Linked DNA regions of Bombyx mori. Each later gene encodes a partner of the first gene's protein in a complex. Links are inferred from orthologs where the notes say so. Each region holds a gene or a part of one and is shown in the gene's direction. Other genes may lie near its edges. The genes, in order: BUD13 homolog, pre-mRNA-splicing factor ATP-dependent RNA helicase DHX16, armadillo repeat-containing protein 7, splicing factor 3B subunit 5, protein crooked neck, 116 kDa U5 small nuclear ribonucleoprotein component and pleiotropic regulator 1.

Evidence for each region.
Region 2: BUD13 homolog (region 1) and pre-mRNA-splicing factor ATP-dependent RNA helicase DHX16 share a complex: the UniProt entries of both Homo sapiens proteins name them as parts of the minor spliceosome. The link is inferred for Bombyx mori from reciprocal best matches to the Homo sapiens genes BUD13 and DHX16.
Region 3: BUD13 homolog (region 1) and armadillo repeat-containing protein 7 share a complex: the UniProt entries of both Homo sapiens proteins name them as parts of the minor spliceosome. The link is inferred for Bombyx mori from reciprocal best matches to the Homo sapiens genes BUD13 and ARMC7.
Region 4: BUD13 homolog (region 1) and splicing factor 3B subunit 5 share a complex: the UniProt entries of both Homo sapiens proteins name them as parts of the minor spliceosome. The link is inferred for Bombyx mori from reciprocal best matches to the Homo sapiens genes BUD13 and SF3B5.
Region 5: BUD13 homolog (region 1) and protein crooked neck share a complex: the UniProt entries of both Homo sapiens proteins name them as parts of the minor spliceosome. The link is inferred for Bombyx mori from reciprocal best matches to the Homo sapiens genes BUD13 and CRNKL1.
Region 6: BUD13 homolog (region 1) and 116 kDa U5 small nuclear ribonucleoprotein component share a complex: the UniProt entries of both Homo sapiens proteins name them as parts of the minor spliceosome. The link is inferred for Bombyx mori from reciprocal best matches to the Homo sapiens genes BUD13 and EFTUD2.
Region 7: BUD13 homolog (region 1) and pleiotropic regulator 1 share a complex: the UniProt entries of both Homo sapiens proteins name them as parts of the minor spliceosome. The link is inferred for Bombyx mori from reciprocal best matches to the Homo sapiens genes BUD13 and PLRG1.

The regions. Positions count from the first base shown.
Region 1 is NC_085130.1:5,568,591-5,572,835, forward strand, and holds the start of BUD13 homolog, read left to right. Parts: upstream 1-1,445; 5' UTR 1,446-1,583; coding exon 1,584-1,684; intron 1,685-2,216; coding exon 2,217-2,400; intron 2,401-2,510; coding exon 2,511-3,699; intron 3,700-4,245. UniProt on the Homo sapiens protein: Involved in pre-mRNA splicing as component of the activated spliceosome. As a component of the minor spliceosome, involved in the splicing of U12-type introns in pre-mRNAs.
Region 2 is NC_085110.1:11,482,215-11,485,714, reverse strand, and holds part of pre-mRNA-splicing factor ATP-dependent RNA helicase DHX16, read left to right. Parts: intron 1-58; coding exon 59-195; intron 196-631; coding exon 632-2,195; intron 2,196-2,855; coding exon 2,856-3,258; intron 3,259-3,343; coding exon 3,344-3,500. UniProt on the Homo sapiens protein: Required for pre-mRNA splicing as a component of the spliceosome. Contributes to pre-mRNA splicing after spliceosome formation and prior to the first transesterification reaction.
Region 3 is NC_085121.1:11,321,589-11,325,771, forward strand, and holds the start of armadillo repeat-containing protein 7, read left to right. Parts: upstream 1-1,383; 5' UTR 1,384-1,536; coding exon 1,537-1,645; intron 1,646-2,188; coding exon 2,189-2,359; intron 2,360-3,786; coding exon 3,787-4,037; 3' UTR 4,038-4,183. UniProt on the Homo sapiens protein: As a component of the minor spliceosome, involved in the splicing of U12-type introns in pre-mRNAs.
Region 4 is NC_085126.1:5,965,730-5,968,052, reverse strand, and holds splicing factor 3B subunit 5, read left to right. Parts: upstream 1-1,215; 5' UTR 1,216-1,375; intron 1,376-1,480; 5' UTR 1,481-1,486; coding exon 1,487-1,744; 3' UTR 1,745-1,823; downstream 1,824-2,323. UniProt on the Homo sapiens protein: Component of the 17S U2 SnRNP complex of the spliceosome, a large ribonucleoprotein complex that removes introns from transcribed pre-mRNAs.
Region 5 is NC_085124.1:5,696,892-5,701,156, forward strand, and holds the start of protein crooked neck, read left to right. Parts: upstream 1-1,465; 5' UTR 1,466-1,628; coding exon 1,629-1,667; intron 1,668-1,740; coding exon 1,741-1,926; intron 1,927-2,271; coding exon 2,272-2,387; intron 2,388-3,277; coding exon 3,278-3,434; intron 3,435-3,528; coding exon 3,529-4,265. UniProt on the Homo sapiens protein: Involved in pre-mRNA splicing process. As a component of the minor spliceosome, involved in the splicing of U12-type introns in pre-mRNAs.
Region 6 is NC_085121.1:1,473,641-1,476,602, reverse strand, and holds the end of 116 kDa U5 small nuclear ribonucleoprotein component, read left to right. Parts: intron 1-1,671; coding exon 1,672-1,864; intron 1,865-2,271; coding exon 2,272-2,425; 3' UTR 2,426-2,462; downstream 2,463-2,962. UniProt on the Homo sapiens protein: Required for pre-mRNA splicing as component of the spliceosome, including pre-catalytic, catalytic and post-catalytic spliceosomal complexes. Component of the U5 snRNP and the U4/U6-U5 tri-snRNP complex, a building block of the spliceosome.
Region 7 is NC_085129.1:1,617,528-1,621,781, reverse strand, and holds the start of pleiotropic regulator 1, read left to right. Parts: upstream 1-1,454; 5' UTR 1,455-1,683; coding exon 1,684-1,799; intron 1,800-2,086; coding exon 2,087-2,214; intron 2,215-2,688; coding exon 2,689-2,925; intron 2,926-3,344; coding exon 3,345-3,431; intron 3,432-3,953; coding exon 3,954-4,039; intron 4,040-4,254. Other genes in the region: uncharacterized protein LOC101740918, read left to right, coding at 1-431. UniProt on the Homo sapiens protein: Involved in pre-mRNA splicing as component of the spliceosome. Component of the PRP19-CDC5L complex that forms an integral part of the spliceosome and is required for activating pre-mRNA splicing.

The DNA.
Region 1 (4,245 bases):
GCGGGAACGCGAGGAGTGAAGTTGTGATTTGTTTTATTTTGTTGTTTCGGGTTTAAATGTGTAATAACGGTGATTTATTAAAAAAACCTCTTGTGGAAAAAGTTGGAAAATATTAAACTACCCACGGAAATAAATAACATTCTAAAGTTTTGGTATGGGAACCAGATCAACAATGTGCGATGGGCTGGGGCTTTGTCTCTTCCATATAGGTTGGAGTGCGGGGTGAGACAAGGCGGGTTGAGTTCGCCTACGCTCTTCAACCTGTATATGAACGAGCTGATCGGCGAGCTCAGTAGGACCAGGATTGGTTGTTTCATAGACGGGGTGTGCGTAAACAACATCAGCTACGCAGACGATATGGTGCTGCTGAGCGCGTCTATCTGTGGCCTAAGGCAACTTGTTTCTTTGTGTGAGGGATACGCCAAATCACACGGTTTGGTGTACAACTGTAAAAAGTCGGAGATCATGGTCTTTGAGACCAGGGGTGGGACGCATGATAAAATACCTCCCGTAGTACTCAACGGAACGCCATTGACAAGAGTTTATAAATTTAAATATCTCGGCCATGTGTTGACCCCTGATCTCAAAGATGATGAAGATATTGAACGAGAGCGGAGAGCGTTGTCGGTTAGAGCAAACATGATAGCTCGCAGGTTTGCACGGTGTTCACTTAAAGTCAAGGTCACCCTCTTTAGGGCCTACTGTACTAACTTTTACACGTGCAGCTTGTGGGCTGGATATACTCAAAGATCGTACAATGCTCTCCGTGTTCAATACAATAACGCGTTTAGGGTGCTGGTGGTGCTGCCCCGCTTTTGTAGCGCATCAGGGATGTTTGCAGACGCGCACATAGATTGTTTTTACGCTACCATGCGTAAAAGGTGTGCATCTCTGGTAAACAGAGTGAGGGCCAGCTCCAACAGTATCCTGAGCATGATCGCAAGCAGGCTGGACTGTATATACATGGGTCGCTGTGGTGCCATCTCCCATGGGATGTTACCACAGTAATTCATTGTGATGTAAATATAAATACTAACATAGGTCTAAGTCTTATTAACAATTTATATGAGTCATGGATACTTGAAATAAAAACATTATTATTATTATTATTATTATTATTAATGGTTTAATATCTGTGAAAGTGCACAAATGAAACAAAGCCGCTGGACGTAGCTTCTAGGGATCCTCCAAAAAGCCCACTAAAGAAGTCTCAGTAAATAACCACCATTTTACTGAGATTATATTTCATCCCATGTTATCTTATCTCAATTTATTTCATTTCATCTCAGTTGATTAATGTCTCAAATTAATCATCTTCATTTCATTTTATTTCATTTGACTCCCTAAATCATTTTTCATAAAAATAAGAATTTAAATATAAAATAAGACATGACCCAAAAGTCTTAGTTACCAGGACATAAAATCCCTTTAAAAAAAGTGTATTATGGCTTTGAAACATTTGAAAGAATGTTGATTTGTGACATTTGTGTTTGTCTAAATTGATACCATAGATAATACACATAATAATATAAAGTTCGTCAAATTAATTTTCTAAATTAAATAATTTGAAATTTTATTTAATAATGGCTACGACTGTAAACCAGAAAGCGTACTTGCAAAAATACCTGGCTGGTCCATCGGGCGATAAAAAGAAAAAGAAAAAAAAAGTGCTAAAAGGAAAAGGGTAAGTCAACTGTAGACAATGTGAACAATAATTGAAATTAAACGTGAAAGAATTTACTATTTCTAAAAAAAATACCTTAAATATCTACCGTTTTGATATTTACAATTGTATTTTGGCATTATATTAAAGTGCTGTCGTCACACTAAAATGCATTTTAAAATTGAAAAAAAAATCATGTACATTTTCACGTATTCTCCTTACAAGTTATTGTATTTTAAGTAAGTATTGATTATTTGTATAATGAAATACATAACAAATGCGAATTAATTTCAAATTTCTTATTCCTGTCAATATTTTCATTCAGTATGGATGAATTTTTTGGTTGCTTAAGCATGTTGTTCTAATAAGGTTCGAACAGTACATTAACTATATCATCACTCTCGGCTCATCTTCCTTCAAAGACGCAAACGTCAGTTCCAAATAAAGAACAAAAAAAAATTCTTTCATTAGTGAAAGATACAGATGACAAATAACCTTACCTGTTGAAACACTAAAGTGAATATAAAAAATGTATTTTCTCATCTAATTTTAGGTTCAAAATAATAGACGATGACATTGACCTATCGAAGCTACGACCCCTTGAGGGTGACGAGTTAGATGTGTATGATGAAGGTGATGACGCACCGCAAGTAGCAGGTATCATCGATGAAAGACCAGAGCATATAAAAAAACAGGAACAATTCACCACTAGTTCTAAATGGAAGATCGTGAATCAGGTACACATGTTTATTACTTTATTTTTACTGTCAAGCCTTCAACATATTAAAAAACCATTCTAATAGAAATCTTATTCATCGATTATAACAGACACCGAAAATCGTTACAGGATGACGGATTCAACAGCAAACTACAAATTGAAGAGATAAAGAAAGATGTAAAGGAAACCGAGAAAGAAAACGAATTGGTCTTTGGAAAAATGTACAGTGATTCCGAAGATGATAAGCCAAATGTTTCAGAAGCTTCGCCGTCTGGAAGAGCTAAAAGCAAAAAAAAACACAACAGTGACAGCGACTTCAGCCCACCAAGAAGAGGGAATCCAGTGAAAAGGAATAATTCTCCTAAAAGAACTACTGAATATGATTCTGATCTTTCACCACCTAGAAAGCATGAGGGTCAGAGAGCTGAAAAACTTAAAAAACCAAGTCGTTGGGACAATGAGAAGGATAAGTCACCAAAGTCTTTAAGAGCTAATAACCACAGAAGATCTAAGAGCTCTGATTTGTCTCCTCTAAGGAAAACCCAAATGAATAAGATTTCTTCAGGACAAGATATGAAAATTCAAAAAAGATATGATGTGACATCTCCCAGAAAATCTAGAAAAGATGATTCAAAACGAAATAGACTTAACTCAGTTTCACCTCCGAGGCGAAAAAAATCCCCAGAGAAATCTAAATTTGGTCACGATAACAGACAGAGCCAGTTAAAAAAGTATAATGATACAGATTATGGTTCGAGGTATGACAAAAGATCTAACAGATCAAATTCAGATTCTGATATGTCTCCCCCAAGAAAGAGTAAGAGACAAATCTCAGAATCTCCCTGTAGAAATGTTCCACTAAGAAAAAAAACGAATGATAGTGATTCAGATTTATCTCCTCCCCGTAAAAATATAAGATATGCAGAAAACAAGTCCTATAGGAATGTAAGCAAAAAACCTCACAGGAGGAATGACACAAAAGACAGTGGTTCGGATTTATCACCACCGCGAAAGCTTAAGAATATAGATAACTACAGAAGGCATGACTCTGAACGTAAAAGAAAAGACAGAAGTTCAAAAAGAAATAATAGCGATTCTGATCTTTCTCCTCCTAGGAAAGATAGGTCTAACAAGAATGACAGTCCCCCTCCAACCCATAAAAAAATGGAGAAGACTTTGGAAGGAAAGAAAGCAGGATTACAAGATGCCAAGCAGCTGAGGCAAGAAAACGATGACTTTAGAAAGAAAGAAGAGGAGATGTTTAAGAAAATGAAAGATGATGTTTCAGGCAGGAATGCTCAAGTTGTGTCAAGGAAAGGTTAGAATTATTAATATAAAATTTAATTTAAATAATAAAAAAAAAGAATATTACACATATCTACGGCAATCTAATTTAAAATTATAAGTAATCTTTGTTACTTAATCTTACTTTATTACTTATTCTCTATTACTTTAGTACTTAACAAATGTTCACGATTGACTTCCACCATGAAGGAATAACATCGTGTAATAAAAATCAAACCCGCAAAATTATAATTTGCGTAATCACTGGCGGTAGGACCTCTTATGAGTCCGCGCTGGTAGGTACCACCACCATCCTGCCTATTTCTGCTGTGAAGCAGTAACGCGTTTCGGTCTGAAGGGTAGGGCAGCCGTTATAACTATACTGAGACCTTAAAACTCGTATCACAAGGTGGGTAGCGCATTTGCTTGTAGATGTCTATGGGCTCCAGTTACCACTTAACTTCAGGTGGGCTGTGAGCTCGTCCACCCATCTAAGTAATAAAAAAAAGTTACATAGTTAAAGTCAAAATAAATATGTGAGCATTCATTGTTCATGGAACATATTTTTATACAAAAATTT
Region 2 (3,500 bases), on another chromosome or scaffold:
GCATTTGGTTAAAACAAAATTAATAGTTTAAAATGTGTCATATCATTTGTCTTTATAGCCTAACAAAAAGAGAAAAAGAAGAAAGGGAACACAAGAAAACTTTATTACAATTAGCTAAAGAACATGAAAAAGCAAGAGAGTTAGAAAATGTTCAAAGATATCATATGCCTCGGGACTTGGGGAAAGGGGAAAAAGGTAATTATCCAAAATTACAAAGAAACCTTTCAAATGAAGAACTAAACAAAGCTTCAAACCTTAAGAGAAATTTAATTATGTAAAATATTTAATTATGTATTTCAAATTATGGGATGAAAAAAACTTAGCTGACGTTAATAAAATGAAGGTTTAAATTATGGACAAAAAGTTTTTCAAGCTATGAACAAAATTTCTGAAATATTTTCATTTTATTAATGATGTTGTTTGGTAAATCATATAGAGTTTAATTGTGAAGTTTCAAATATTCAGTTTGGTCTTAAATTTCTATATTGTTTATTTCTCATCCAATACTTTCATTTTAAAATTTCAAAATTTACAAATCAACAAAACAAAAGAAAATAATTAAAAAATTGTAATCAGTAATAAATTATTTGCTTGTACATCTTGTATATAACCTACTAATTGTATATTACAGGTGAATATGTTGAAGTTGATGAAAATGAGAGGTTGCCACATTCTGAACAGCAAAAATGGGAACAAGAACAAATTAAATCTGCTTTCTTTAAATTTGGTGCAAAAGATGCTAAAGCTACAAATGAATATGATTTATTACTGGATGAACAAATTGATTTCATACAGGCTCTTAAAATGGAAGGTTCTGAAGACAAAAAGGAAAAGTCAGAAATATCAGAATATCAAAAAATTCGAATGACCATTGAAGAAACAAAAAAATCACTTCCAATATATGCGTTTAAACAATCACTTATTGAAGCCATACAAAATTATCAAATTCTAATTGTAGAAGGTGAGACAGGATCTGGCAAAACAACACAAATACCTCAATATCTCCATGAAGCTGGTTTCACTAAAGATGGGAAAAAAATTGGGTGTACACAACCTAGGAGAGTAGCTGCTATGTCAGTTGCTGCAAGAGTTGCACAAGAAATGAACGTAAAACTGGGAAATGAAGTTGGTTATAGTATAAGATTTGAAGATTGCACATCTGATAGAACAGTAATAAAGTACATGACAGATGGAACTCTTCATAGAGAGTTTCTATCAGAACCTGATCTAGCCTCATACAGTGTAATGATCATTGATGAAGCTCATGAACGTACCTTACATACAGATATATTATTTGGTCTTGTAAAAGATATAACCAGATTTAGACCTGATTTAAAATTGCTTATATCCAGCGCAACATTGGATGCTGAGAAATTTTCAACATTCTTTGAAGATGCCCCAATTTTTAGAATCCCGGGAAGGAGATTTCCTGTGGACATCTATTACACAAAGGCACCCGAAGCAGATTATGTAGATGCTTGTGTTGTATCAGTATTACAGATTCATGCCACACAACCTCTTGGTGATATATTGGTTTTTTTAACAGGACAAGAAGAGATTGAAACATGTGTTGAAATGTTACAAGAAAGGACGAAGCGTATAGGCAAAAAACTGCGCGAGCTTTTAATATTACCAGTATATGCCAATTTGCCTAGTGACATGCAAGCTAAAATCTTTGAACAAACTCCTGAAGGAGCTAGAAAAGTCGTTCTTGCTACAAATATAGCTGAAACTTCATTGACAATTGATAATATTATATACGTAATAGACCCAGGTTTTGCCAAACAAAACAACTTCAATTCCAAGACTGGCATGGAAAGTTTAATTGTTGTTCCCATTTCTAAAGCATCAGCAAATCAACGAGCTGGACGAGCCGGAAGGGTTGCTCCTGGAAAATGTTTTAGATTGTACACAGCCTGGGCATATAAATATGAATTAGAAGATAATACTGTACCAGAAATTCAGAGAATAAATTTAGGAAATGCAGTTCTCACTTTAAAAGCTTTAGGCATCAATGATCTAATACATTTTGATTTTTTGGATCCACCACCGCATGAAACATTAGTTTTGGCTTTAGAACAACTTTACGCTCTGGGTGCACTTAATCATCATGGAGAGTTAACAAAAGCAGGCAGAAGGATGGCTGAATTTCCTACCGACCCCATGCTCGCGAAAATGTTGTTAGCTAGTGAAAAGTAAGTAATGTAAACATAAGTCATTCTCTCATAACTAACTTTCATAATGAAGGATTAACTTCTTCTTTTTCTGCATCTTACTATCAGCCAACAGCTCAACACTCACTACTCTCTCTCTCTCTCATATCGTCATTCACACACTCCATCCGTCTTCTTCGATCGACCTCTTTCCTCTCTACCTTGCACTACCAATTCCGTACATCTCCTAGTCACATGCATCTTCTCTCTACGCATCACACGTCCATACCACGCTAACTATCCGCTTTTTAATTTGTTAATTACCGGGGTTACTTTCATACTTCCTCTGATATACTTATTCCTCATCTTATCCATTCTTGTCACTCCACACATCTATCTCAACATTCGCATCTGGAATGAAGGATTTACATTGTGTAATAACCTGGTAAATTTTATAAATTTGTATAATGACTAGTGATAGAGCTGTTGTGGAGATATCGATAATTTTATTATAACTAATGTACAACACAATCAAATCAACAAAACTTTTATTCCACACTTTATACTACAGACTTACAGATTGTGGGTGAAGAAGTAGTTAGTAGCTGATAAATGCGAACGCGTCCACTCATACCCTCTAATTAAAAGCAGTTCAGATTGTCTCAAAATCACTTTAATTCTCACATTTTTCTTGTCTTACAGATATAAATGTTCTGAAGAGGTTGTCACAATTGCAGCAATGCTATCAGTAAATAGCTCCGTCTTCTACCGGCCTAAAGATAAAATAATCCATGCAGATACAGCAAGAAAAAATTTCTTTCATCACAAAGGAGATCATCTGACAATTATGAACTTATACAATCAGTGGGTTGCTTCAGATTATTCGGTGCAGTGGTGTTATGAAAACTTCGTGCAGTATAGATCGATGAAACGAGCTCGAGATGTTCGTGAACAATTAGTCAGCCTGATGGAAAGGGTAGAAATTGAAATGGTTACAAGTTTATCTGATGATACTAATATAAGAAAGGCTATAACGTCTGGTTATTTCTATCATATAGCAAAATTTTCAAAAGGTGGTCATTATAAAACTGTAAAACATAATCAGGTAACGAAACTTAAAATCTTGATAGTTAAAATAATGTTTTTTTCTTTTTCTTATAAATCTATCCAAATATATTTATTGCTTTCAGACAGTTATGATACATCCTAATAGTGCTCTATTTGAAGACCTTCCACGATGGGTGATTTACCATGAGCTTGTATTTACATCTAAAGAATTTATGAGACAAGTCACCGAAATTGAGAGCAAATGGCTACTGGAGGTAGCGCCTCATTATTACAAATCAA
Region 3 (4,183 bases), on another chromosome or scaffold:
ATTTGTAAGGGTTGTCAACTCGCAGTACTGCGATATATAGGTAGGTGCCATATAATTATTTATATGGACCGAAATGATGAATACAATCCATAATTTAAGCACAATACACAACATAGTGTAAATTAAGCTGGTTTCTATTCTGAAGCGATGTGACGTGAATGATAATCAACAATACAATGATCAAAAAAAGTATGTGCATGTTATATTTTAGAAAATTATTATTTAATTTCCTTAAAAATCACAACTCTGAAACAAAATCATAAAATAGAATAAAAAATAGAAAACAAAAGGACTGGAAATGCAATAATACAATTTTATTTAATCAACATTTTCAAAATAATCTTTGAGCAAGAGTAAGATATCAGGTGAATAAGATAAAAAACCGGCTTTATCTGATTACTGCCAATAATAACAAAAATAAAAGAAATTCTTTCTAAGCGAAATAACTAAACTCAATTAATTCACTCACTCATAATTGGATATCTCGGATTTTTAATTAATGTTACATTTAAAATCTGAGGCCTGTTTTTATTTGTGTGTGCGTTGTGAATGTTAACAAAATCATGATTCGACGCGTGAATAGATTATGAAATAACAAAAGTTTTGATTCGTTTGAGTTCTTTTAACTTTTTTTTTTTTTTATTGCTATAAAGAACATACGACCGGGCAGATGTTACAAGGTAAATGTCGCGAAAAAAAAGTAATTATATATATACTTTTCTTTTACCTATAATACTTACATAAACTAACTGATAAACATATTAACCTTCTTTACATCACGCAATTAAGTGATAGTATAGGCTAAAAAATCTATTATAAGATATCAGTGACAACCCTAACAAGCCATCCCTATTTTGTCTTTTGGCGTTCCAATTTTGTGTTTTCTCGTCCCTAATTTTTCCAGTCTCGTTCCAAATTACCCTACAAACGTCCCAATTTTCCCCAAAAAGGAAAGAAAAAATATACATTTTTTATTTTGTCGAAATATTGTATTTAAAATAAGAATATTGCAACTTACCGTTTGTTGTGGTATTTCCAGGTGTATTAAAAACTTATATAAACTGTGATCTTATTGAAAAAACAACGATAATATTACTTTTTTTAAAAGTTCTTTAAGCTGTTTTAAAACGCACTTTTCAACCACTATTTTCAATTTAATTTGACGAATTTTTGGGACCAACTTAACTCATATTTAGTACTTCTATAGTTAACTTGGTTTTTCTTCTATACATTGACAAATATTAACATAAACAAAATTAGGTAGATTCCGTGCTACAGGTACTTTGAGAATCTTCCGCAGGTTTGTCCCAATTTACCCCAGGATCCCAATTTACCCCATGTCATGGTAGATAAAATGTTCCCTTCCGCATGTCATTGTGCCACCTGTCAAATGTCAAAAACAACAGAGAAAACTGTCATGGCGTGTCAATTGAATTATTGAATCAAAGGAAAAATAAGGAATGTGTATTTACTTTAATGAAAGTGGTCCAGTCAAAGTAGGATTTTTTCTATAGCCTTTTAAGTTACTATAATTTAATGTTCAGTTCAAGAGCACACTTACAAAAACGTACCCCAAAAGATGGTACTGATCGCGAGGCATATTTGTCATTATTAGTCGACGAATATTTACACTCAAGTTCCTATGGTAATAAAATATACATGCAATATCTATTTAATTAATTTTAATGCGATTTACGTATGAACTTTCACAATTGCCATTAAAGTTTTTACTTTTAAAAATCTTAGATAGTTAGAAAACTATTGCATAAACAAGGGCGACCTTAATGCTAAAGAGTACTCACAGTACAGCTAGCCCTATTGCGTTTGGATAATGGTATTTTTCGTTTTAATAAAATTAAATTGTGTATGTGACTTATGGGATATGATTATAGTGATTTTAATATTTATATTTTATATTTATATTTATTGTATCATACATTAGTTTTTTTTCTTCATTATTAAGTAATGTGCATGAAGGTTTGCTCTGTTTCTGAATAATTAATAACATACCTGTTGGATCTTTTTCACAATTTCTCTAGATAAAAAAGGTTGTTTAGAAGAGATGATTGTGTGACACAATGATGATTGTGTTTTGGTGTGTAGTAAAGTAATCTATCTCTCTCTATCTCTGTCTCTCCACGGCTCTCTCCATGGCACTGCAATTTGTTAATGTTATTTTTCCTTACAGAAGCAAAGTTGCAAGTTTTAGCCAATTTGGCAAATTTTGCATATGATCCTGTGAACTACTCATACATTAGAGACGTTGGAGTACTAGATATATTCTTGTATGTGCTGAAGAATGAAACTATTGGTAGATTAATAAGGTATGCCATTGCGGGTGTCTGCAATTTGTGTTTAGGTAAGCTGTTGATAACAATAGATGAATAGTTTTCTCAAATTATTATAAGTTCAATTAAACTGTCAATTTTTTTATGAAAACTCTTATAAGAAAGAACCTGTTCAATAAAAGTATTCTTTATATTATTATGTACAATAATTTATTTAAGATTATCAAAGTAGCTCTATTTAAATTTAATTAAATACTTGAACTATTTGAATATTTGTGAGTGTTGATAAGATGTGATTTAGTGCATTTTAAAGTAAATTAAAATTGAAAGTGCCCAATAATATGTAGTGAGCTTGCACCGTTTTCTTGTAAATGTTTTAAGTGCAATGCTGCTTATACCAAATAGCCATTTTCCCCTCAATATTGTGTAACTGTCCCTACATACCATTAAATTGGAACTCTCTTTATTATATTGGAAAGTCTTAAGCCCATTAGACTGAAATGGTTTATTAATGTTATATCTGACAGTAGTACCAACACATGCTGCCACCACACTACTGACAGTATTCAAGATAATAATTAGAAGAGTAAGGAAAGTAGTAATTAAAAAGTAAAAAAAATTTGATTCTGATTCTCAATAATATTTTCATTAAGAAAGAATAAAATAGCAAATGCATTAATAAAATAGCAATAGACCCGACTACCGACTAAACCCCATCGAGCTCCACTACTCCGACTCCACGAAACCTACGGTACCGCACAATGCGCGCCGCAGGCTCGCCGTCGCCGGTACCCGTCCTGACAATAGGACGGGATCCAATCCCCGGGAAGATCCCGCAGGAATAGACTAGCAATAGAATAGCAATAGACCCGAAATAAATTATTGCTAAAAAAGAAATTAGTAATACTAAAGATTTATCAGTCATTTTGAATCAAACATTTTGAAGTCGTTGTGGTCTAAAGGATACTCCGTTTGGTGCATGCGTATCTTGCGATGCATTGGTGTTCGAATCCGGCGGGTATCTGGCGGGTATCTGGCGGGTACCAAATTTTCTAATGAAATACGTACTTAACAAATGTTGACGATTGACTTCCACAGTGAAGAAATAACATCGCTTAATAAAAATGAAACCCACAAAATTATAATTTGCGTAATTACTGGTACCTATTGTGAGTCCGCACGGGTAGGTACTACCACCTTGCCTATTTCAGCCGTGAAGCAGTAATGCGTTTCGGTTTGAAGGGTGAGGCAGCCATTGTAACTATACTGAGACCTTAGAACTCATTACAAGGTGGGTGGTGGCATTTACGTTGTAGATGTCTATGAGCTCCGGCAACCACTTAACTTCAGGTGGGCTGTGAGCTCGTCCACCCATCTAAGCAATGTAAAATCCCAAATTTAGAAAAACGCTAGAATCATCTTTAAAAATTTGACACTATATAAAATCATATTGCTATTTCACATTTCACATGTTTATGTAAGAATTATCACTTTTCAGATCCACTGAATGCAGACTATATTTTAACTCACTTGGGATTAAAACCTTTGTTTCGATTATTGAAGTCAAGTGATACAGACACTGTAGCTGATACAATAACGACATTGATATATATGTACAATGAGAAAACAAAAACTGAAATAACTGATCAAGACGTTATAAATATGATGTCAAATTTGAAAACTACGCAGGATTTGAGGATCGTCAATTTAGCTACAGTTTTTCTACAAAATGTGTGTAAGACCACCTGAATAGTTACATAAACGAACTTCATAATGAACAAGATGCTCTCGAATAGATTCCCCTATATTATTGTGAACAATAAAAATTATCAAAAAATATGCAAGATTCATACCACATCCTTCAGCAACACAGCTTTTAAAGCTGGTGATAAAAT
Region 4 (2,323 bases), on another chromosome or scaffold:
ACGATATCAACGTACCCTAGAGTGTACTTTGTAAGTACTCTAAGTTGATATGTAACTGTGAGCATAGAAAATACACTTAATTAAAATACCTGTGAGCTTAAGATAAGTGGATGAGGAGAACCGCAGACCGGGCTCAGTGGTGTGGATTGGGAGAGGCTTATGTCCAGCAGTGGACGACTGTGGGCTGTTGATGATGATGATGATGATGATGATGAGCTTAAGATTCCATGATAGATGCAGCTGATCTAGCGTGGTTGTAATTATGTATATCTCACGGGTTTTTTTTTATTGCTTTGGTGGGTGGACGAGCTCACAGCCCACCTGGTGTTAAGTGGTTACTGGAGCCCATAGACATCCACAACGTAAATGCGCCACCCACCTTGAGATATAGTAAGTTCTAAGGTCTCAAGTTTAGTTACAACGGCTGCCCCACCCTTCAAACCGAAACGCATTACTGCTTCACGGCAGAAATAGGCAGGGTGGTGGTCCCCACCCGCGCGGACTCACAAGAGGTCCTGCCACCAGTAATTACGCAAAATATAATTTTGCGGGGTTCATTTTTATTACACGATGTTATTCCTTCACCGTGGAAGTCAATCGTGAACATTTGTTTAGTATGTATTTCATTAGAAAAATTGGTACCCTCCTGAGATTCGAACACCGGTGCATCGCTCAACACGAATGCACTGGACGTCCTATCCGTTAGACCACGACGACTTCTATCCTTCCTTTACCTTTTTTTACTTTTTATTTTATCTTTTATTAACCTCTTTGCTTTAATAACTTTGTTGCGTGAGCTGTAGAAGTGTAGTTAATAGTTAATTTTGTTAACTTACTGTTTTTTTGTTTGTTGAAACGTGCTATTAATGAAAAATTGTAACCGTTTAGTATCTCTAAAAGTCCACAAGTATAGGAAAATGTGACAACACAGCTGTACTCAACTGTTTTGGTCAGCATTATCGGCAAACGAGTATCTGTCCCACTTAATAATAAGTGGCGATCGTCTCTGATGAACGTCAACGTCAGAAGCATAGACTAAGACTAATTCCACTGCCGGGGCTCTTCCCAAGCTTCGTTAAAAGATGAAAGCTTATTTCAAAACCAGATGATATGTAAACAGATCTAAGAACTTACTGTGAAAGATGCAGTGAAAGAAATAATAAAAAAAACTGTGCACAACCTTTGGTGTTTAGATTTCAACGTTAAGTATTGTATCTATGGTTTAGATACGCCGTGTCTGCAGTAATCTGCACTGCAATTTATGTATTGTCTATGAATACTCTTTGTTTTGGGCTGCTACGTGATATCAATATTAGCTGAATTAGAATATAAACTTTAGAGTCTATACGATTTCAACAAGCATCTTGCCTTTAAAGTAAGTGTGTATATTTTATTAGAAACGTTTTATTTATTTTATAACCATTTAATTTTACATTAATGACATTACTAACTCGAACTATAACCTTAAAATAATTTACAGAATAAAATGGGTGAAAGATACAACATTCACAGTCAACTTGAACATCTACAGAGCAAATATATAGGCACAGGCCACGCCGACACTACAAAATATGAATGGCTTATGAACCAACATCGCGACTCTTGCTGCAGTTACATGGGTCATCCGGATTTGTTGAGTTACTTTGCGATCGTAGAAAATGAATCTAAAGCGCGCGTAAAATTCAATTTGATGGAACGAATGCTTCAACCATGCGGCCCACCGCCAGAAAAGCCTGAAGATTAAACGCTTCGATTTTAAAAATAGAATTAAGCTAATTTACTTATTATTTGACTTTGAATCCCTTATCATGACATAAATTCGAGCAGTTTGTTTTCATTTCTATAACCTTTAACAAACACAATTAGTCTATTCAAATAGTACCACCAAAAACTCAACTATTATCAATAAAAACTACAAATTTTAATAACAGGTATAGTTTATAGTTTAGAATTGGTTCAATGGTCAAATGTTTGACAATCTTATTTTTATATACAAACTTGTTTCATATTGTTTTATCTCAAAGAAATCAGTTTTGATTTCCATTTAGCCTTATATATATACAGTCAAAATCTGTTATAACGACATCGAAGGGACTGCTCATATTCAGTCGTAAAAACCGATAGTCGTAACAACCGGTAATGTTTAATGTGTATCGTGCAAGTACAAACAAATCGATAGGGAATTATTGGAAAAATATATTTACAAAATACGTGATTTTTCTTCAATATTAATTTGTTTTCTTTTTCTTTGCGACATTTTCAAAGTTTCACGAATAACTCCACAAAGTTTTGGTGCGTTTTATGTATAGATAAGTAATAAACT
Region 5 (4,265 bases), on another chromosome or scaffold:
AGTGTCTATGGTCTTCCTGTTTAATTTAATTTCTTATTAAATACGTTACATTTGTTCCATTTCATTCTTCGTACAATATTTTCAGCCTTAGTTACAAAATATTTGCTGTATGGCCTAGTTACTTTTGTCTGTCCAATAAACGAACTAAACATTCTCTGTGGTTCGATGGCTTAGTTTACATATTACGTGTATTATCTGTGCTATTTATCATAGATACCTACCTACTTGGCTTAAAAAACTTTGTTTCGAAGCCACTAGAAATTTATAAAAAAAAATCTACCTACTACCTACATATCACTACTAAAGATGGGTTAATACCGATATTTGTCAATATTAGCGAATACGAATATATTCATGATGTAATATTATAATAACTTAACTAATGCGTGAATATATCCTGATATCTTAATATACTTCGATAAAACGGGTAAACGAGTTAACCGAGTACGGTATTCGTGAAATAAGTTAATAATCATAGATAATACACATAAATTAGTTATTAAATTAATATAAATAGTATACTGTATCTAGGAATTTGATTTCATACTAAATATTTTACAAGTAATATTATGTACATTAATATGAATATTATTATTAAACCAGAATTTGGTCAACATTGTACATTAATATAAACAACAAGTTAGTAATATTATTTATTTCTTATTGGTGCATAAAAACATCAGCTTTTTTACTTTTTCTACCGAATGACCGGTACGTCGCTCAGAAATGAGTATTCCAGATTTCGAAAAAATCCTCTGATACGGTACTGAGGTGGCTAGTAGGTACACAACAGTTATATTAATAGTATAATCCATGAACCGTTTGGTTAGAAAGTCATTTCGATTCAAAAATCAAACTTTTATTTATAGTTTGAGAAGTTCTTAGAAGATAATTAACTACTACCACAAAAATATATTGTCATCATAATTTATTACATATAAACATTTAATGAAAATAAAGCTCACCGATTTTATTCCAATAAATGTGGAAATGCACTATTTTGTCTTGAGTCGAATCTTTAGTACAAACATAAAAAGTAATGCATTTAAAAATTCCCACTGGCATCTTTGACATGTAAAAAGTGCAATACAAAATAGTCCTTAAACTCATAGCGAAATATAGTTATTTTCATTGCTCAGTATATAAACATGTAGATTATCTCACTTACTCTTAGCGCATGCAGTGCATTGATATGAATGTGATAAACAGATATCCGCGAGACACGTACGGCGTATGTCAGTATATTTTCGTGTGATAGATATTTCGCTAGGAGTAACAGTGTTCTGTGGATAGATACAACCCGACTGATGTGAGCTGGCTATTATTATGAATAAGTGAATACGGAATATTAGCATATCAGAATTCGACGGATTACCGATAGACGAATACAAGCTGTATTACGAATATCTTAGTGAATGCTAATATATCGGTATCACCCTTAACCACTACCTACCGTATTCACTTCTCTTAAAAATGTGTATAATCTATGCTTCTCATTTTGACAATAAATAAAAAAAAAACCTGAAGATTTCCTTTCCTGTACTTAGCTGTTTATTGTATGTAATCAAATTAAATTTAGGTTAAACTGAACTAAAAAATTATAAACTGTGCAGAACGTAGAACTTAACATGGACAGCAAGACAACAAAAATGCCGAAAGTGGCAAAGGTACGAAAAAAGTGTTTGATGGTATTGTTGAATAATATTACTCCAATTTTAACATGGATCTCACGATTTTTAGGTGAAGAATAAAGCACCAGCAGAAATCCAAATAACAGCTGAACAATTACTTAGGGAAGCCAAAGAACGAGACCTTGAGATATTACCACCGCCACCTAAACAGAAAATATCTGATCCTGAGGAACTTCGAGACTACCAACATCGTAAACGTAAAGCATTTGAGGACAACATAAGAAAGAACAGACTTGTAAGTAAATTCAATTTATTAGTCGCTTACAATGTATAAATGACTGTTTTTCCTATTAATGTAATTGTTTCTCAGTTTTAAGACCATCCAATGCTTAGTTTTACTAGCTGATAGAGTTCACCAAATTAATTTCATTAATTGATTTCGTGCCATTACGATCCTTTGAACAATATAGGTTTCATGCTGTTTCCACAATAAGAAGGGTACTAAACAATTTCTACTCAGAGCATTACTGACGAAAACCAGATGAGGATACTTTTATTTAGTAGTATTTCTTCAAGAAAACAACAAATAATATAATAATATCGAATTTTAGTTTAATGGATGCTTTGTTTTTGTTTTCAGGTTATTGGGAACTGGCTTAAATATGCACAATGGGAAGAATCACAAAAGCAAATCCAAAGAGCTCGTTCAATATATGAGCGTGCTTTGGATGTGGATCACAGAAATGTTACCTTATGGTGAGAGCTATCATTACAATTAACAATTTTATTTGAAAAATTATTAACTTATGTGCTCTTGGTACTGCCAGTGTTTAAACCATATGACTATTTTAAAAAATGTTTGAGAAATCTGTGGTGTTAATTTTTTTTTGCATTCTTGGCTCATCTGATAGTAATTGTTAGTCACACTACTGAGTACTCTTTGTAAGCCTCATTTGAACAAGGACATATTGTTGGATCACTCAAGACATGGGCTTTAGAACAAAATTCATGTCACAGTGAAGAAAAAAATTAATTCTTAAAGAGTTACCATACAAAGATCAGCTTATAATAGAACATATAAAAAAGATTCCTATGTCACTCTGTTCACATTACAATTTTATTTGGTTAGTAAACTTGTAGACAATTGTGGACGAAATGTTAAGATGTTTGATATACTTGTAATGACCAATACAACTATACTAGAGTTCATAGCCTTTGTGCTACCTAAAGCCCAATATATTTAAGGAAATACATACCCGATATGAAGAAATTTCATAAGTAAATAAGAACAAAGTGTCATTACAAAATTGATACTCTATTAATGTATTGTGAACTGGCATGTAATATATCATCCTGCCTATTTCAACAGTTATGCATTTGGTTTGAATTGTCCAACAGTTGTTTTATAAAGGAATTGAGACTTCAATCTCAAATTGATGCCTATTTAGTCCAAGAGCCACTTATTTAACAAATAAAACAATCTGTACTTTGAAAAATCTGTAAAAGTCATGGACTTTCTTGGTAAATTTCTTACAGTTTTAACTGTTAAATTTGCGTCACTCTTCAATTATCCACACTACCTTAACTACCTGTACTTTAGGCTGTTATACCACACCAAAATATTCTCAGCGTATCATGGGTTTTAGGCTGAAGTATACTGAAATGGAAATGAGGAACAGACAGGTAAACCATGCCCGTAATCTATGGGACAGAGCTGTTACAATTCTGCCAAGAGTATCTCAGTTTTGGTACAAATATACTTACATGGAGGAAATGTTGGAAAATGTAGCTGGAGCAAGACAGGTGATATTTTTTATACATGTACAATTTCTCGTATAATGATAATAGTCACTGACTGTAACTGAAACAAGGTTTCTAATTTACTTTTGTTTCACAGGTATTTGAACGTTGGATGGAATGGCATCCAGATGAGCAAGCTTGGCAAACATACATAAACTTTGAATTGAGGTACAAAGAACTTGAACGGGCTAGACAAATCTATGAACAGTTTGTTATGGTGCATCCAGATGTAAAGAATTGGATAAAATATGCAAAATTTGAAGAAAACCATGGTTTCATAAATGGCTCTAGGACAGTTTTTGAGAGAGCTGTTGAATTCTTTGGTGATGAAGAATTAGATGAAAGACTGTTTATAGCGTTTGCCAAATTTGAAGAAAATCAAAAAGAACATGACAGAGCAAGAGTGATTTACAAATATGCTCTGGATCATGTCCCAAAAGACAGAAATAAAGAACTTTATAAAGCTTATACTATTCATGAAAAGAAGTATGGTGATAGATCTGGCATTGAGGATGTAATAGTAAATAAGAGAAAGTATATGTATGAACAGGAAGTTATAGAGAATCCCACAAATTATGATGCATGGTTTGATTATATTAGATTAGTGGAGAATGAGGGTAATTTAGATGACATAAGAGACACATATGAGAGAGCAATTGCAAATATCCCTCCTTCAAAGGACAAACAATTTTGGAGGCGTTATATTTACTTGTGGATTAATTACGCTTTATATGAAGAGTTAGAAGCAGAAGATTTAGATCGAACAAGACAAGTTTACAGAACCTGTTTAGAATTAATTCCTCATAAGATATTTACTTTCTCAAAAATATGGCT
Region 6 (2,962 bases), on another chromosome or scaffold:
GGCAACAAGATTGTTATAATTCTGATTACAACCAGGTTGCTCACTGCTAGGAGTGGGTGATATAAATCGTATATAGATTCAATATCTATATATCGCAGCAATATCGTTGAATCCGATATCGCCCCGCACGAAATCTATATATCGATATCAGCCGATACACGATATTGCTCGATGTGATGCGCATCGCCATATCGGACCGATTCGTGAATCGAAATCTATATTTCGATATCAGCCGATACACGATATTGCTCGATGTGATGCGCATCGGCATATCGTACCGATTCGTTAATATCAGCAATATTCGTTTGGTTCGTATCGAATCGGCCAGAGTGAGTGAGCGCACGATAGCGATATCATGTGATGAATGAAACAGAAACAGGCATTATCCATACAATTGTAAACCTTATATTTAAGTCCATATGTCTGTAGATTATTCTAAGCGTATCAGCAGGATACAATTAAGGAAAGAAGTTTCAACTTTCGACCCTAACTTGAATGCAGTATAGCCTATTTGCATCGTTGAATTTAATTTCACGCGCTTTGACCTTGAACTAGAATTTTTGGACAAGTGTTTATAAATACTTCAAAGTTTTTTGTGTTTGATTTTTAAAGTACACATTTTTCTATTTTTAGTTAAATCCAAATAATTGAGTTTATTTCTTGTGTTTGTATTAAACTTTTGAAATCTACACTCTTTTGGTATATTTTGTAATTTTAAATTAAGACACAAAATACTAAAAACTGAAAATAATGTAGCCAGTCCTAAGCCTGGTAAAAGCATGAAGGAAAGTTTTTTTGATATTTTTATTTTCATGTTCTTTTTATTACTTTAAGATCATATTATAAATTGATATCAGAAAACCAACCGTATAACGTTGACTTAAATACTACGATATTATATCGGCGTATCGTTTCAAATCTCAAATATCATGAATCGAGAAAATCTACCAGCATCCATCAATATATAGATTCAGAAAATATATAGATTCAATATCCGATATTGATCCTCGATATATAGATACGATTCGATACGCGGCAAAACCGATATTACCCACTCCTACTCACTGCGCACGTATCCGCAATTGTGCCCGCACAGTGCGGCGACCTTAGCGCAAATGCGGTTTTTCCTTTAAATATATACATACATATTATGTATATGTAGGAAGATCGGTATTTTTTTTGATCAGGTTCACACTGACACATTAGAATTATTTTAAAATAAGAATAATGAAAATTACAGTCATCGAATGACATGACGAGGTAAGGAGGGTTTTTTTTTGGAAAATAAAAAATTTTGGTATGAAAGTCCACTAGATTTCACTCTACCGTCCCACATTATATACATGTTGTAATATATAGTGCTGTTGATTCCACCGACTGAGCCGGTCATCGGGGTTTTCGTCGAACCCGTCGCTTGCGACGAAGGGCTCGGCGAGTAAATTAACCCACAGACACAGCCCACTGAGTTTCTCGCCGGATCTTCTTAGTGGGTCGCGTTTCCGATCCGGTGGTTGATTCTACGAAGCACAGCTCTTGTTAGGGATCGTGTTAGCAACAACGTCAGGTTTGAGCCCCGTGAGCTCACCCACTCGCCCGGTGACGCTGATATGGTCTCACAAGACTATCAGCTTAGGTAGAAAAAACCGACTGAGTCTGTGGCTCGTCGCGCAGGTCACGTGACCCAGGACGCTCCGGTCCCCGGGTCGCCGCTCTACACCATCAAAGCGTTCGTCCCGGCCATAGACTCGTTCGGCTTCGAGACCGACCTGCGCACGCACACGCAGGGCCAGGCCTTCTGTCTGCAGGTCTTCCATCACTGGCAGATCGTGCCCGGCGACCCGCTCGACAAGAGTATTGTTATCAGGTGAGTTGTCTAGTTTGGATTGTTTTATCTATCTAATTTATAAAAATGAATTCCTGTTCGTTAGTCTCGCTAAAACTCGAGAACGGCTGGACCGATTTGGCTAATTTTGGTCTTGAATTATTTGTGGAAGCCCAGAGAAGGTTTAAAAGGTAGATAAATAATAAATGCTCGGAATTAAATATAAATAAAAAAAATGTTTTCTTTTTCATGTGTCCCCCGTCGGACGGATTCGTTTTGTTTATTTTAAGTTTATTTTATACAAAAGCTTAGGTCTTTTATTTATCGATTGAGGCACTACGAAGTCTGCCGGGTCAGTGTATTGACGAAGATAATGATATTTATTATAAACGAATCTGTATCAGCAGTGAATGATAAAATCATATTTAATTCATTTTTTATTTATTTAGGCCATTGGAACCACAGCCAGCGACGCATTTAGCCAGAGAGTTCATGATCAAGACCCGTCGACGCAAGGGGCTCAGTGAGGACGTGTCCATCAATAAGTTTTTCGACGATCCTATGTTGTTGGAGCTGGCAAGACAAGACGTACAACTTCATTAATTATATTTCTGATTTAATAAAATTTACCAAACAATTATTTTGGTATTTGTTTTTCATTTTACGTGCAAAGTTTTGATAAAATTACTGAACAATAACATAATATATATGTAGTGAAAACATATTATTATAGTATGTAATACATAGATTAATTATTATAAATCAAAACTAAAAAACATTTGCAGTTGTATGTGAAACTTTTGGCGTTATACTATTCATTCTATATATTTTTTATTAAATCCATTAAACCTAGAGGGAGTGCGCGGTACTTTATAAAATTGCCAAACGTTAAAGCCGGCAGAGGTGACATGTTAATATTTGTCGCATTTTAACGATTTATCCTAGCGATTATACTACTCACAAAATAAATCCAACAACATACTAATGTTAGGTAGTTAAGCCATAAGTTTCTCGGCTAATCTAAATTAGTAAAAAAAAATGTATTCATTATTCAAATTGTTTTACTATTTTGTCATGTTCACGTTTATCAAATTTATCGGTAGGTGCCTAACAGTAGAAACATAGTTCAGAATCGGCAGT
Region 7 (4,254 bases), on another chromosome or scaffold:
GTGGCTCCAACGCATTATACGGTGGCCCGGCTCTGGATTCACGAGTGCTGTGGGCGGCCCTCACGCCGAGAGGCACGAGACACTTTGTCGCCGACACTTACCCGCACGACGATACGGAGGACCACCACTACGAGTGCGTCGAACCCCCTCTCTACAAACTCGGCCCACCCGAAGACTTGGCCATCACCCGTCACTTCAATGTTGAATACGAAGACCCGGCGCCCCTGATAGAAAATTACAGCGATAGAGCTGAGGACTACTTCCGTAACGGTATCGAGACGCTGCGCAGAACGAGACCGCTCGTGTCATCGCCAACCAGGATCGAACGCCCCAACTTGCCTCCTCTGAACCTTCAGCCGAGGACGCTGCGCCGCGCGCCCCACTCCCGCCGCGTTAGCGACGCTAATAATCCAGAGAAATCGGCCATCTGAACCGAGAGTGGCGCGGTATTCTCCGTCGCCGATACAACTGAAATCGATTACGATTGGCAGTCGATTGAAAATTCGAACGTTGACCGTCTCGTTTAACAACCGTACTATTGACTCTTGTTTCACTGAGTGTAATGCTTTTTTAGTTTTGAAAAATCGTCGTCGAAATTTCTGGTAGTTCAGTGATTAACATTCGTTCATAAATACTAAAATGCTCTTTTACGGTAATTGTGTGTTTATGTAAATATTGTGTATGCACTTATTAAGTATTCCAAGTCTGTGTGTTGAACAGTACAATGTGCTTAGTACCATTTGTATGGAGTTGGAACAGCGCCTTTAGCGGCAAACGCAGAGTAACTGCCCCAGCTCCATACAATTTTGAGTAACTTTTACACGATCGAGAAGTTAAAACAACTCGCACCAGGCACACTGTACAATGTAAATAATACTTTGGAGGATGTTTATTGTATGTAATTTAACATAACAAATAGCTATCATTAAATCAATAAATATTCGAAAACTAGTGAGCAGCTGTATCTAGTCTAGTTTCTAGTCTGTAAGCACAATTTCTAGTCATGTTCGTACCTACTTGTGAATTTAGAGGTAAATATAGATATAGTCCACTGTGTATTTTATTGAAAATCAATTCCACAATTTTCTTCGCAATGAATTTTTATGCTCGAATTTTGTACTTATGAATAAAATCGACGTTGTGTAAACAGTGTTTTTTTCATTTCTAGGAGCAAACTCTAATTAAATTATTGATAAAATTCTGAGCCAAATCCGTACTTTCTATCCGTCACAACAAGCATAAACAACAAACAATAAATTTTTTCTTCAAATACCCTTTAGTATTTCAGCTCAATAAGAGGAATTTAAAATGTTTGTTTTAAAACAATTAAAATGGTAATTTCAAAAAATCATAATAATTATGTTTGTTGCAGGCTAATCGAGATTTGCATTCATTTGCCCAAATTTTTTATTATCTGTACAGTGACACTTGACAGTGACGCTGCTCATACCGTCCATTTGACGTTTGTTTGACGTAGGATTTATTTTGTAGGAAAGTTGTTGCTGTTTGTTGTCGGGTATTTCTTGGTCTCGACACCGTTAAAACCAAAAAGCTTTTCGTAAGAATCATAAGGAATATGCATTAATTAAAAATAAAATTGAATTTAAATGCTGATTTAATATTACAAGTTAATAGTATTTCGTATTCTTTAAGTAATTTTAGACATTAATTAATAACTTCATAATGTCTGAGGACGTGATTAAACATTCTGTACACACTTTAGTGTTTCGATCGTTGAAAAGATCGCACGATATGTTCCTAGCTAATCAAGGAATGTTGCCGCCAATCGACGATAAAGCGTAAGTAAAACAGAATAATATTATTTGAGGTTAGTTTAATACAAGTCCTAATGGAAATAATCGATGAGCTATTTCAAAGATCGGTACAATAGACAAACTAAGCGATTTGTTGTTCCGTATCAAAAAATTTCTGCTAAACCTTTAAAACTTTCTACTGTACTGGAGAAAACCTTTATGGGAGCAGACAATGTTGTCAAGGTAAATAAATTAGAGGAAAATGTCACGTTATGTATAACTACATAAAACACTAGAGTAGATAATTATTATTTATAATTTTACATTAACAGAGAGAAAGTACTGAAATTGGTTAAAGCAAGAGATAGTTACGGACAAGTCATGGGTGCAGTGCGGAAGGCTCAGGCCCTGAAACAACAAGAGTCTGTCACCTGTAGACCTGAAACTCCACTGACCACAGGTAAAAACAATTAACAAACTCCTATATACGGTTAAGCGCTTAGGCTCAGGATAAATAAAACTTCCACTGAAGTACATATTAAAACTCTATTTAAAACTAAGAACACTTACCAAACACTTTACAATTCGTAATTCACTTCTTCCGCTTCGCTTCAGGTGATCCGTTTGCTGTTTCGCTTTGAGTAGATCCTTTTAATAACTGCTTTCATGTCATCTCTGCAACGCTTTTATAGTCAATACGATATCTCTACAAAAATCGAGAACATTCCAGAAATATGGATCAAATACAGAAACAAAAAAAAAATTATTCATTTTTATGGAATTTTTTTTACAACAAAGTTGCATTTTCGTTATGATAAAAAAACAGCAAGAATTTAGCTGTGGACCTCATGAGTTCTATGCTCATTACATTCAATAAAAAATCGGTCCAATACTCCTTGATATTGCAATGAAATAAATCGAATGTTTTCTTTAGCAGAAACAGTGGAAACTGCACCTTTGCCGTCGGAAGGGGCTGTTGTCCCATACTCTGGACCAACACCTTCACCGTCACCAGCTCCCCCCTCGGGGGCTTTAACTGTACCACGGAAACCGCCGTCTATGCCCAAACCAAAATGGCACCCACCCTGGAAATTAATGCGTGTTATATCAGGTCATCTGGGTTGGGTTCGATGTGTTGCTGTAGAACCTGGAAATGAGTGGTTTGCTACCGGTAAGTAAAATTATAGAAACCACATACAGAGCAAACTAATGGCATCTAATATGCCAACATTTAACTAATATATTTAATCCTTTTAGTATAAATTAGAAGAAGGATATGTGGTAAGAATTATAATTACAAATTTGTCAATCTTAAAAATTTTATTAATATAAAGTTTGATTTTTACATATTAAATATACTTATTTATAAGACTTTTTTATCAATACAACACAAAACATAAACTTTGACAGTTAGATAATCAATATATTGTATTTGTGTAGACAAGCTGTTGTCCTATGAACGGTTGAAAAAATAAACTTGATTTATGATTAAAGTTACTTCATTTTTCTGTTATAATGAACTTTTAGCACAACCATTACAATAAAACCAATCCTAAGGAATTAATCTGCATGATGGTTTTGATATTTCAGGTGCCGCTGACAGAGTGATAAAAGTATGGGATTTAGCAAGTGGGAAACTAAAAGTATCTCTCACTGGACATGTGAGTACAGTAAGAGGTAGGTGCGCACACTTTTTGTATTCATGCAAAAATCAATGCTTGGTTTTCAGATTTTGAATAATGAACGCATTTTTCTTTTATTGCCCAGACAAGCACACTGCCCACCTGATGGTGAGTGGTTACCGTCGCCCAGGAACTTCAGTAATGCCATGGGCTTAGCCAAGCCGCTGCCTACTAAATTAGTAATTTTTTTAGCATCATCAGCCTGCGGCAGTCTGCTGCTGGACATAAGCCTCCCCAAAGCTCGCCACTAAACCCAATCTTCGGTTCCTTAATTAATTTAGTAATTTTTTATTTTAGTAATAGTAGACATTTTTAATTTTTTCAAACTTTTGCTGCTATGTATATTACAGAATTACATAACAAGTTCTGATCATAATTTTCACATTAACACAGTTCTGGATATTTCATCATGTTGTACGCACAGAGACCGTAGGTTGAGTCTATGTTAATTGTGAAAATCATGATCTAAGAATCCATCAAGTACCAGTATGTGTAATATGAATATATTCTATTTCAGGAGTGGTAGTGTCACCAAGACATCCATATTTATTCAGCTGCGGTGAGGACAGACAGGTGAAGTGCTGGGACTTAGAATATAACAAAGTGAGTTATTGACCTATAAATAACAAAAAAATATAGGTTAAATGATATGTCTTTAAATATATGTAAAGAAAACTTTTATTATTTAAAACTATTTAGATTTTAAAAAGGATTTTTCTTCAGTGTTATTCAGTGTCATGGAGTGAAGTGAAAAAGAGAGTTCAGTTTTGTATAGTTTATTATTAATAATATGTACTGTTTACTCTTTAATTGAGGTT